2 linked regions of the Arabidopsis thaliana genome follow. The protein of the gene in region 2 interacts with the protein of the main gene of each other region in a pairwise test. Each region holds a gene or a part of one and is shown on either strand. Other genes may lie near its edges.

Region 1 (4,459 bases), on a different chromosome or scaffold from region 2:
CACCGTATCTCTTGTTGAAATCCTCCTTGACTCTCTCCAAGAAAGCCATTGGTATCTGCCTCCCAGCAGATTCAATAACAACAACACAATAGGCTGCATAACAACAGAGGGAAATGAGAAATCTTATTGTCACATTCCAACTAAAGCAAATTCGTGCATTGGACAACCAAAGCTTTCCAAACATAAAAATCTTCACAATAAACATTCCAAAGAAGCCATGCATAAAGCTGATTAAAATCAGAACGAAAACAACAGATTGCATATCCAATCAAGACATGGCATTGATTAGAAGAAAATCTGAATATAACACAATGCCACAAGAATCGAGAGCAACGAATATCCTACGAAATTCAAAGCTACACTGTTCTCGAACATTTGATTTCGAAACTAAGCATTCATAAGAAAACAGATGAACCAAGGCATAAACAGAGAAATACAGAGCAAAATCGACACAGATCGGGAGATAGAGACTTACTGAAGCCATTATCAGCGAGATAATTGAAAGTGTGACCGTCGCAATTGTAGGTAAATTTGTTGTTCGAGGACGGAAGTTTCTGGAGACACTGAGCGGCGACGGAGGTGAAATTGCCCTTGAACTCGGTATACTCGGCGAGGATCACCGTACCGCGAGCGACGAAGCTGTAGATCAACGATTGTTGTCCCATTCTTCCTTTTATCCAGATGAGAGAAAGATAAAAAAACGAAACCTAAGAACACCACAAAAATCCGATCGAATTGATGAGAGAGATTAGTAAGCGATGTAAAAATACACAAGGGAACGAGGGGTAGCGATGGAGAAAGCAGGACGCAGAGATCGGAGAAGAGAAACTATATGAGAGCGCTGGATTTGCGCGAGTAACAGAGACATTATTTTCCCTTTGGTAACGTTCAAATTTTGAATTTTTAAATATAAAAAGTAAATAAAAAGAAAAATTCATCATTTGTATAGTCGAAAATTGCCTTAATAAACTTTATTTTGGTAAATAATTCACGTCTAATTAATAATAGTATCTTCATGTTTTTACACCACGGTGGCTCGTTTTTCAATTCAAATGTGAAATGTTTATCAATGAGCATTTTAAAAAACAAATATATATATATATATATATATTATATATTGATTTTTTATAAAGAAAATTGCGATGTGTAAGGGATATTTGAGTTGTTAAATTTTCTATAAATTATATGTTATGTTACTTAAAAGAACGTTCAATTGATAATGTTGCAAACCTTCCTACCAAAAAAATTAAAATAATGTTGCAAACCTTTTCTTTCATTCCAATTCACTAACCTTCTATTCTAACCACAACCTAACTACCTAAATTTCAATTATTTGATTGTTGATCAAAATCTTTAGGAACACGTTAAACAAATTAATTAGCAGGTTCTAAACAATGCAGAGCAATTGTAGATGACAAGAGATAACGGTAGAAGTTCGAATTTTGTTGCTGTAACAAGATACTATGACTATGAGCTCCCCCCGTCCATTAAGAATTAAGAAATTTGGTTAATTACAACATTTGTTTTTATGTTTAAGCCTTTTGTTCGTAACTGAGCTAATACTGGAATCACTGATCAATGATGAATTTGGAAAAAAAGATATTTTGAGGAAGACAGAGACAGACTCTCTTCGACCATGGGACCTGAACTTGTCCTAAAGTTGGTAATTACTAATTTGTGCCATCGGCAGAGTCCACGAGCTTTTTGGCTGGATCCGGGCGGGTCCAACTTTCTCGACATTTGTTTGATCTCTCCGTTTTGAAATTGTTTTTTTTTAGTCCTTAAATTCAAGGTTTTATACTATTTTTGACCCAATCTGACTACCTTAAATGACAACTTTACCCTTGCCCGCTTTTCAACTTTTTCTTCTCCCATGTCCACTTTAGTCCTCGTTTTGTTCTTTCATAGTCTTCTAGATCTGTAGTTTTTTTCCGCGACCGCCCAAAAAATTCTCTGATCAGACGGTCGATTGGATCGGAGATTTAAGGTAAAGAAAAAATGGCGCAACAATCGTTGATCTACAGTTTCGTAGCTCGCGGCACGGTGATCCTCGTTGAGTTCACTGATTTCAAAGGTAATTTCACCTCAATCGCTGCTCAGTGCCTCCAGAAGCTTCCGTCTTCGAACAACAAGTTCACCTACAACTGCGACGGTCATACCTTCAATTACCTTGTCGAAGATGGATTCAGTAAGTCACTTTTCGTTTGATCTATGCATAGGTTTTAATCTTACACCATTCGGTGCTTACCTCGATTTGTTTCTAGGTTTATTTGCCTAACCTATCGATTCGTATGGATTTGTGCATCCTGAGTAGTCTGATTTCACTGAGGAACCGCATGAACCAAGCTTTTAGGGTTAGATCTATATTTATTAAACGCAATAAATCTCTGTAGAGTCTTACCTGTATAATCACTCAGATTTGGACAGAATCCGTGGTAGCTTTGGTTGATACTATGTGGAAGAACACCAACATTGATCTGAGACAGGGTTTTTACTGGTTGCTTTATTTGCGTATAGTTTCCTAGGTCATGGGTTTTGGCTGGCTTCATTTTTCAATGAAAATCTGGGGTCTTATTGTAAGCTTTTGTGACTATCCTTTAGTTGTTGTAGCCATATCAATTTCATATTAAATCAATGTCACCTGATTATCCCGTAAGGGAAGACAAGGAGATTGATTTTGTTCCTGTTGTACAGCCTATTGTGTTGTTGCGGTTGATTCTGCTGGGAGGCAAATTCCCATGTCCTTTTTGGAAAGAGTAAAAGAAGATTTTAACAAGCGATATGGTGGTGGAAAGGCTGCAACTGCTCAAGCAAACAGCTTGAATAAGGAGTTTGGGTACTTTTTCATTATCTCTTCTATTTGGATGATCTTCTCTTTTATATTCGTGGACTGACTCTTTTTGGTAACTTTGAAGCTCTAAACTGAAAGAGCATATGCAGTATTGCATGGATCATCCTGATGAGATTAGCAAGCTTGCTAAGGTGAAGGCGCAAGTGTCAGAAGTTAAGGGTGTAATGATGGAAAACATTGAGAAGGTTTGAATCTGACCCTTTCTGTCCTCAATGTATATATTTACATCTATGGTTGACCCATCTGAAAGAGCTCATCTAGTCATACTAAGTTACTGTGAAATCAATTACTAATAATTCAATGCATTACATCTTACGGGAAATGTCCAGTTTACCAATGTAACACCGCTTACATATGCGACTCATTATTTGCAGGTTCTTGACCGTGGTGAGAAAATTGAGCTTTTGGTGGACAAAACCGAAAATCTTCGCTCACAGGTTAGACTCTCTCATACCCTTATCTCCTGCATCTATTTGCCTACACTCACACACAAAGATGAACATGCTTTTTGAGTTCATAGCTGACTCATCCTATTACCATATCTTGTGTCTAACTGAACTCAAACTGCCACAGGCACAAGATTTCAGAACAACAGGAACGCAGATGAGAAGAAAGATGTGGCTTCAGAACATGAAGATAAAACTCATAGTGCTCGCCATCATTATCGCACTGATTCTCATCATCGTGCTCTCAGTTTGCCATGGGTTTAAGTGTTAAGCCCAGAAAATTCAAAACTTCTGAGATCTTTCTCACTCGGTACATCGTAGTGCCTTCTCTTTTATTGTTCGATCTTCAATCTAATGTTTCTGCTTGAATTGGTTTTGTATAGATAGACATATATGTATGCTACTCATTTGCTATATTGCTTGCATCTGATGACATTGATCCCTTGCGAACCAGTCAGTACTTGACAAGAGATCCGAAACTATTAAATGATTTTGTTGACTGAAGATTGCATTGTGGTGGTGATGATAAAAATTTGAGATTGTATTGACGATTATACGGCGTGATGTGTGCTGGTTACTTTAAATTTAGATAAGAGTAGTGCCCTCTCTATATCGTTACTAGGGATGGTAGTACATATATATACGTACGTCATATTCCGACCACCAAGGTTGTTTTGTTCAAACTCCTCCCGCAACGCTTGAGTAGATCTTGTCGGCCATCGGGTCGTTTATGAGTTCAAACATACGTGTTTACTCTGCTATCAGTAGGAGCAACCAATACAGAGTTTAGTAGTACATACAGAAGCATCTTGTCAAGAAACAACAATCTGTAGTCACAATGGTATAAATATTTGGGCTATTTTAGTTAAGTGGGCCGAATATTTAATGGGCCGTAAAACCTAATTTGAGATCCTGCAACCAAAACTTTCCCGCTAAAACACTCTCATTCCCGCTCAAGCTCACACCAGATTCCGATTTTCACTTTTGTTCACCGAGCACCAAATCCCAACAAAATTCCGATACGGTCAATCATATCAGAGAATGGAATTCGATATCCCATTGCCGGAGGAGCTTGAGCTTCTAGAAGCCAATTCTCATTTCTACGAAGAAGAAGATGAGTACCTAAACTTTGAGGAGCCGCCATATCCTTACCCAATCGACG
Region 2 (6,113 bases):
ATGGCCCACAACAACAAAAATAACTAACAAATTTTTAGACCCTACACTACTCTTAGCATGCATGTGACAGCTTAAACTTAAATTTAAACAGTTAACATGAACAACCCCACTTGCACTAGGAAGACAGCAAATAGCAAACTTAAAGCAGTTTACGATTTCTGGTCTTTTAAGGCAAGGTTTAGTAACCCAGTAATTCCTTTTGATTTGAAATATATGAATAACCGAAATTAAAAAACAAAAAAAAAATCACAAAATACTAAAATTTGAAAGCCGAAATAATTCATTTTTCAATAGTTATAATCATCTTTTAAAAAGTAAGTTAGATCATAAAACCTAATATAAAACTTTTATTGGCAAAACTAATTAATCACGAGAAAATAATATTAAAGTTAGCTCATGTTATGTTTATATTAGGAATCTCTCATTTACTTTATTTTGTTTTGTTTTGTTTCTATAATGATATTAGGATTCAGGAAGACAATAAACAAAATATCAACAAGGAATCATGAAAGATACATTCGAACGGGCTCAGATCGACGCAGAAACAAAAAGCTTTGGAATGATTTAATAATACAAATTTGGCGGAAAGGTTTGAAGAATTTATACTTGGCATTCTATACTAGCGAACGAAAACAAAAGTTTAGTCAAATATTTAGGATTACCAAAAAATCAATATTCGTATACAAATGTGTTTTATTATAAACCATGATTTTTCATAACTTTATTCTTAGTTGTTTCAATTTGTTTTCTCTCATTTCTCGTTCCTATTGTAGAAAAAATTCCTGATTCTTTTTTCTTTTCTTTTGTTTTCCCATGTCAATTATAACCGCATTAGAAAAGGTTAGCACATGTTCATTTGCACAGAATGTAGTCAATGTACAATTCATCTATAATTTATCACCTTTTTGTTAAAAATATTTATAGCCATGTTATATATATTTTATCATGTTGTGTTTTAAACTCTAGATTTGTTCTTTCACAGTTTATGGGATTTATCATTTCATATATTTCCTCCTATGAGTAAGATGTCATTTTTAAATTCTTAATTAAGAATTTAGAAATCAAGTTTATTATTTTGTTAAAATTTATAAATTACGTATTTTTCCTTTATTAGTGAGATTAAGATATAAAGAGTCTAGCACACTAGAGAAATGAAAACATACATATATCTAGAAAGGGTTTATAAGAAATTAGTAAATGGAATCAGAACATGAAGGAGAAGGGAGGGGCCACCATACCGACGGGAATGAGAAGTATGGGACGGACAAGAAATCAAGTGTACACACATGAAAAAACCCACCACGTGAAGATCTCCTATTGGTGTGTCTTCTCCTAAGTACTAAGTATAAACCAAAGTCAAAACACAACAAAGACATATTGCTTGCGAGCCAGCGAGTGTGTCCGAGTGAGAAGAGAGTTTGGGACTTCACTGTTTAGAGAGCCTCATTCGCTACCTAGATTCGGTTTATCCACGTGGAGAGTTCACGTAGCTTCTATAATAATAATACATTATATAAGCTGTTTCGGTAAAATAATCTTAGAGTTTCACTTCCCATGCAAAAAGATTAAATGGACTACTATATTTTCTATATGAGTGTTTTGGAAATAATCTTCCAAGTTTATGGCTATTTAGTAAAACTCAATCCAAAATGAGAACAATAACTTTTTTTTTTTTTTTTTTGCAATGAGTACAATAAACTTATGATTGGTTTTGGGGACTAGAAAATAAAATAGAGACATATACTTTAAGAATAGTTGATGAGAAAATAAAACTTTTTTCGAAGAAAGAAAAAAAAATATACTCTGGCCCCTTACATATTCTGTCAAATGCCATTTTATTTTCTTTATTTTGCTTGGTCCATTTCTGGATTCCTGAAATGAACACACCATAATTTTCATGCCCATTTTTGTCCTCCCATTAACACTTACCAAACACCAAACGTACCTTCCTTCCTTTATATGTGTCTCTATGTCTATATATCACTCCCACCTTCAAATGCTAGGAAAGTGGACATCACACCATAGTCTGATAGTCATGAATCTCATCAAGTAGAAACCTCCAAAGAAACAGATTGCGTTTCCTCTTCTTCTTCCTCCTCTTTCGAATCTTATATTTTCGTGTCAAAAAAGAAACAAAATATGATGATATCTACCGCAAAAGCTCAATGTTTGCCACTTAAATTCTGTCTCATCTCTCAAGATTTTTGATCATCTCACACTTACTCCGTTCCGCATTTTACGCCTTTTCTTCACCATTGTTGCTTCTCGAATCGAAACCATATTGGTTTTGCAGCATTAATGGTGCACTGAGTCTTCTTAAAGCCGTTAACCTTTCCCTGCCAAATTCTCAACCAAAAAGAAAAAAAGATAACAAATGGGTCACAACAAGTTGCCATAAAGGTCCCAACAGAAGAAGAAAAGAGAAGTTTCCCCGTGTTGCTTTGTCACAAGCTTCATCACTATTTATAACTACCTTGCCAAGAAGAAAGCCTAAAAAGGTATAACAGTTTCTTTGTCTTTAGAGATCATCAAAAAGATGTCGATCTCTTGGACTCGAAATTTCTTCGAAAGATTCTGCGTCGAGGAATACAATATAGACACCATAAAACAGAGTAGTTTCCTCTCTGCCGATCTTCTACCATCTCTTGGAGCCAGGATCAACCAATCTACTAAGCTCCGCAAACACATAATCTCTCCTTTTAATCCACGTTACAGGTAATTTTCTCATCTACTAAACTCTGTTTTAAGTACTCTGTTTTCAACTATGTTTTCAACTATTCAGGTTATAAGTAGTTTTAACTACTCTGTTTTTACTCACGTTATAAGTATATTTAAAGACTCTGTTTTCAATCCTCTGTTTGTTGAAACAGAGCGTGGGAGATGTGGCTAGTATTACTAGTTATTTACTCAGCTTGGATTTGCCCATTTCAATTTGCTTTCATCACCTATAAAAAAGACGCGATTTTCATCATCGACAACATTGTTAATGGCTTCTTCGCCATTGATATTATTCTCACCTTCTTCGTCGCTTATCTCGATAGCCACTCCTATCTTCTAGTTGACAGTCCTAAGAAAATAGCAATAAGGTGAGAAACCTTTTTTCTTAACTTGAAACCTTTTATAAGTGAATGAGAATCTCAAAGTATGTTTTGAAATTGTAACATTTTCAGGTACCTTTCGACGTGGTTCGCTTTCGATGTTTGTTCCACAGCACCATTTCAGCCACTAAGCCTCTTGTTTAACTACAACGGAAGCGAACTAGGATTCAGAATTCTTAGCATGCTCAGGTTATGGCGTCTCCGGCGAGTTAGCTCGCTATTTGCAAGGTTTGCTTCTATGCTAACTAAGAGACCATACTCTTCTTAGGGTTTAACTAAGAAAGTGCTTACTCAAGTCTAACTAACTCTTACCTTTGCTTCAGGCTTGAGAAAGATATCCGTTTCAACTATTTCTGGATACGTTGCACAAAACTCATTTCGGTTAGTTCCAAAACAGAGCAAAACTAATCTCACTTATAATAAAGCATTTTAAGCTTAGGGCTGTCCATTTAGGTGATCTATTCTTAGGGTTTATTTGTCTTTTAAATGGACACCATATTAAAGCTAGTGACTTACACGTGCTTGTTGATCTCAGGTCACTTTGTTCGCTATACATTGTGCTGGATGTTTCAACTACCTGATTGCAGATAGATATCCTAATCCAAGAAAGACATGGATTGGAGCTGTGTATCCAAATTTCAAAGAAGCAAGTCTATGGAATAGATATGTGACTGCTCTTTACTGGTCCATTACGACATTAACGACCACGGGATATGGAGATTTTCATGCTGAGAACCCAAGAGAAATGCTTTTTGACATTTTCTTCATGATGTTCAACCTCGGTTTGACAGCTTACCTCATTGGAAATATGACCAACCTCGTCGTTCATTGGACTAGCCGAACCAGAACCTTTGTAAGTTTGATCACTTTCTTTTAGTCTAGGCATGTTCATTTCGGATAAAGGTTCGGGTAATAGCGTGGGGTTTACGTACTTTTGAGTATTTTAAGTTGACTAAAATAATATTGAGTATTACTAATCTGTAATGCTTTATTGCTTTGTGTTAAACAGAGGGATTCAGTGAGAGCTGCTTCAGAGTTTGCTTCAAGAAATCAACTCCCACATGACATACAAGATCAAATGTTATCACACATTTGCTTAAAGTTCAAAACAGAGGGCTTGAAACAACAAGAGACCTTGAACAATCTGCCAAAAGCAATCCGGTCAAGCATTGCAAACTATTTATTCTTCCCCATTGTTCACAACATTTACCTCTTTCAAGGAGTTTCTCGTAACTTCCTCTTTCAATTGGTAAAATTGTATTCTCTAACCTTTTTTCTTAACGTTTAATATGTAAGAGGTGACCAACTCCATGTACCTTTTCATGTTCAAGGTTTCAGATATAGACGCTGAGTATTTCCCACCAAAAGAAGATATAATTCTACAAAACGAAGCTCCTACTGATCTTTACATTCTGGTGTCAGGAGCAGTGGTGAGTGAAATATATCGGTTATATGTAAATATGTGAATAACAGTTAGGAATCTTGTAACATTGTGTATTGTACAGGACTTCACTGTCTACGTTGATGGACATGATCAGTTTCAAGGGAAAGCAGTAATTGGAGAAACATTTGGAGAGGTTGGAGTTTTATACTATAGACCACAACCATTCACAGTAAGAACAACCGAGCTATCTCAAATACTGCGGATAAGCAGAACATCGCTGATGAGTGCGATGCATGCTCATGCTGACGATGGACGAGTCATCATGAACAATCTCTTCATGGTATGTGAGTTATTATAGAAATGTTTCTATAGTTAAAACAAACTCTAAACTCATTTTTGGCTATAAAACTTTCAGAAACTTAGAGGGCAACAGTCAATAGCAATAGATGATTCGAATACTAGTGGTCACGAAAACAGAGATTTCAAAAGCATGGGATGGGAAGAGTGGAGAGATTCAAGAAAAGATGGCTATGGTTTAGATGTTACGAATCCGACTTCCGACACTGCTCTAATGGATGCGATTCACAAGGAAGATACTGAAATGGTTAAGAAGATACTTAAGGAACAAAAGATAGAGAGAGCCAAAGTGGAAAGATCAAGTAGTGAAACCGCTGGAAGAAGTTACGCTAACGATTCATCGAAAAAAGATCCATATTGCAGCTCAAGCAACCAAATCATCAAGCCATGCAAACGAGAAGAAAAGAGAGTTACCATCCACATGATGTCTGAGAGCAAGAACGGGAAGTTGATACTCTTACCATCATCCATAGAAGAGCTTCTAAGACTTGCAAGTGAGAAGTTTGGAGGCTGCAACTTCACAAAGATCACCAATGCGGACAACGCTGAGATTGATGATTTAGATGTCATTTGGGATGGTGATCATTTGTATTTTTCATCAAATTGAGTTTGAAAACTCGACTTCATTTATAGAGCATGTATATCTGCAGATAATGTATTTTTACCCGGTTTCATAGAAAAGTCTAGATTATCAAAAGCAGAGTATACAAAACTGACATTAATTGACACAAAAACACAATCTTATTTCACAGCTTGACTATGATACATTGATACCGTTCTGTTTGAACACAAAACATTATTCTACACGAGTCTTCTGCTTTGAACTTGTTTCACATGATAAATCAAGAAAATTTTATTTTTCTCTATTATCAATAAAGATTTTAAGAAATTTACCTATTAAAAAGACGAAATTTTTTTTTCAGAAAATTAAGCGTATATTCAGTTTGATTTATTTTAAATTTAAACACTTCAACATGTTTGTAATAAAAAAAAATCAAAATAAGAAATTCTCGAATGTATTTTATATTCAATCAACGAATAAAATAAATTATTCCACGAACATGAACTGCATGCGTCCCACCTCATTTTATACGAAATTTCCATGTTACCCTCTCTAATACTATTCTCCTTCCTCTTCCACAGACCCAATTTCGTCATTCAATTCCAAAACTCACACCTCTATATAAATCCAGCAAAAAGTCCCCAAAAAGTCACCACCACAAATCTCATCGAAATGTCGTCTCAAGAAACGAAATCAGATCAAAGAGAAGGAG

What was found.
Region 1: the proteins of KAT1 (region 2) and VAMP721 interact in a two-hybrid assay, tested with the Arabidopsis thaliana proteins (one study listed by BioGRID).

Annotation. Positions count from the first base shown.
Region 1 is NC_003070.9:1,330,966-1,335,424, reverse strand, and holds VAMP721 (vesicle-associated membrane protein 721), read left to right. Parts: upstream 1-1,773; 5' UTR 1,774-1,998; coding exon 1,999-2,188; exon of another isoform or gene 2,189-2,694; coding exon 2,695-2,836; intron 2,837-2,915; coding exon 2,916-3,036; intron 3,037-3,225; coding exon 3,226-3,288; intron 3,289-3,424; coding exon 3,425-3,568; 3' UTR 3,569-3,959; downstream 3,960-4,459. Other genes in the region: VAMP726 (vesicle-associated membrane protein 726), read right to left, coding at 1-93, 476-665; CTF18 (P-loop containing nucleoside triphosphate hydrolases superfamily protein), read left to right, coding at 4,339-4,459. UniProt on the Arabidopsis thaliana protein: Involved in the targeting and/or fusion of transport vesicles to their target membrane.
Region 2 is NC_003076.8:18,742,985-18,749,097, reverse strand, and holds KAT1 (1), read left to right. Parts: upstream 1-1,691; 5' UTR 1,692-2,536; coding exon 2,537-2,715; intron 2,716-2,870; coding exon 2,871-3,086; intron 3,087-3,170; coding exon 3,171-3,326; intron 3,327-3,421; coding exon 3,422-3,479; intron 3,480-3,633; coding exon 3,634-3,951; intron 3,952-4,107; coding exon 4,108-4,347; intron 4,348-4,429; coding exon 4,430-4,528; intron 4,529-4,603; coding exon 4,604-4,822; intron 4,823-4,897; coding exon 4,898-5,446; 3' UTR 5,447-5,588; downstream 5,589-6,113. Other genes in the region: AT5G46230 (hypothetical protein (Protein of unknown function, DUF538)), read left to right, coding at 6,074-6,113. UniProt on the Arabidopsis thaliana protein: Highly selective inward-rectifying potassium channel. This voltage-gated channel could mediate long-term potassium influx into guard cells leading to stomatal opening.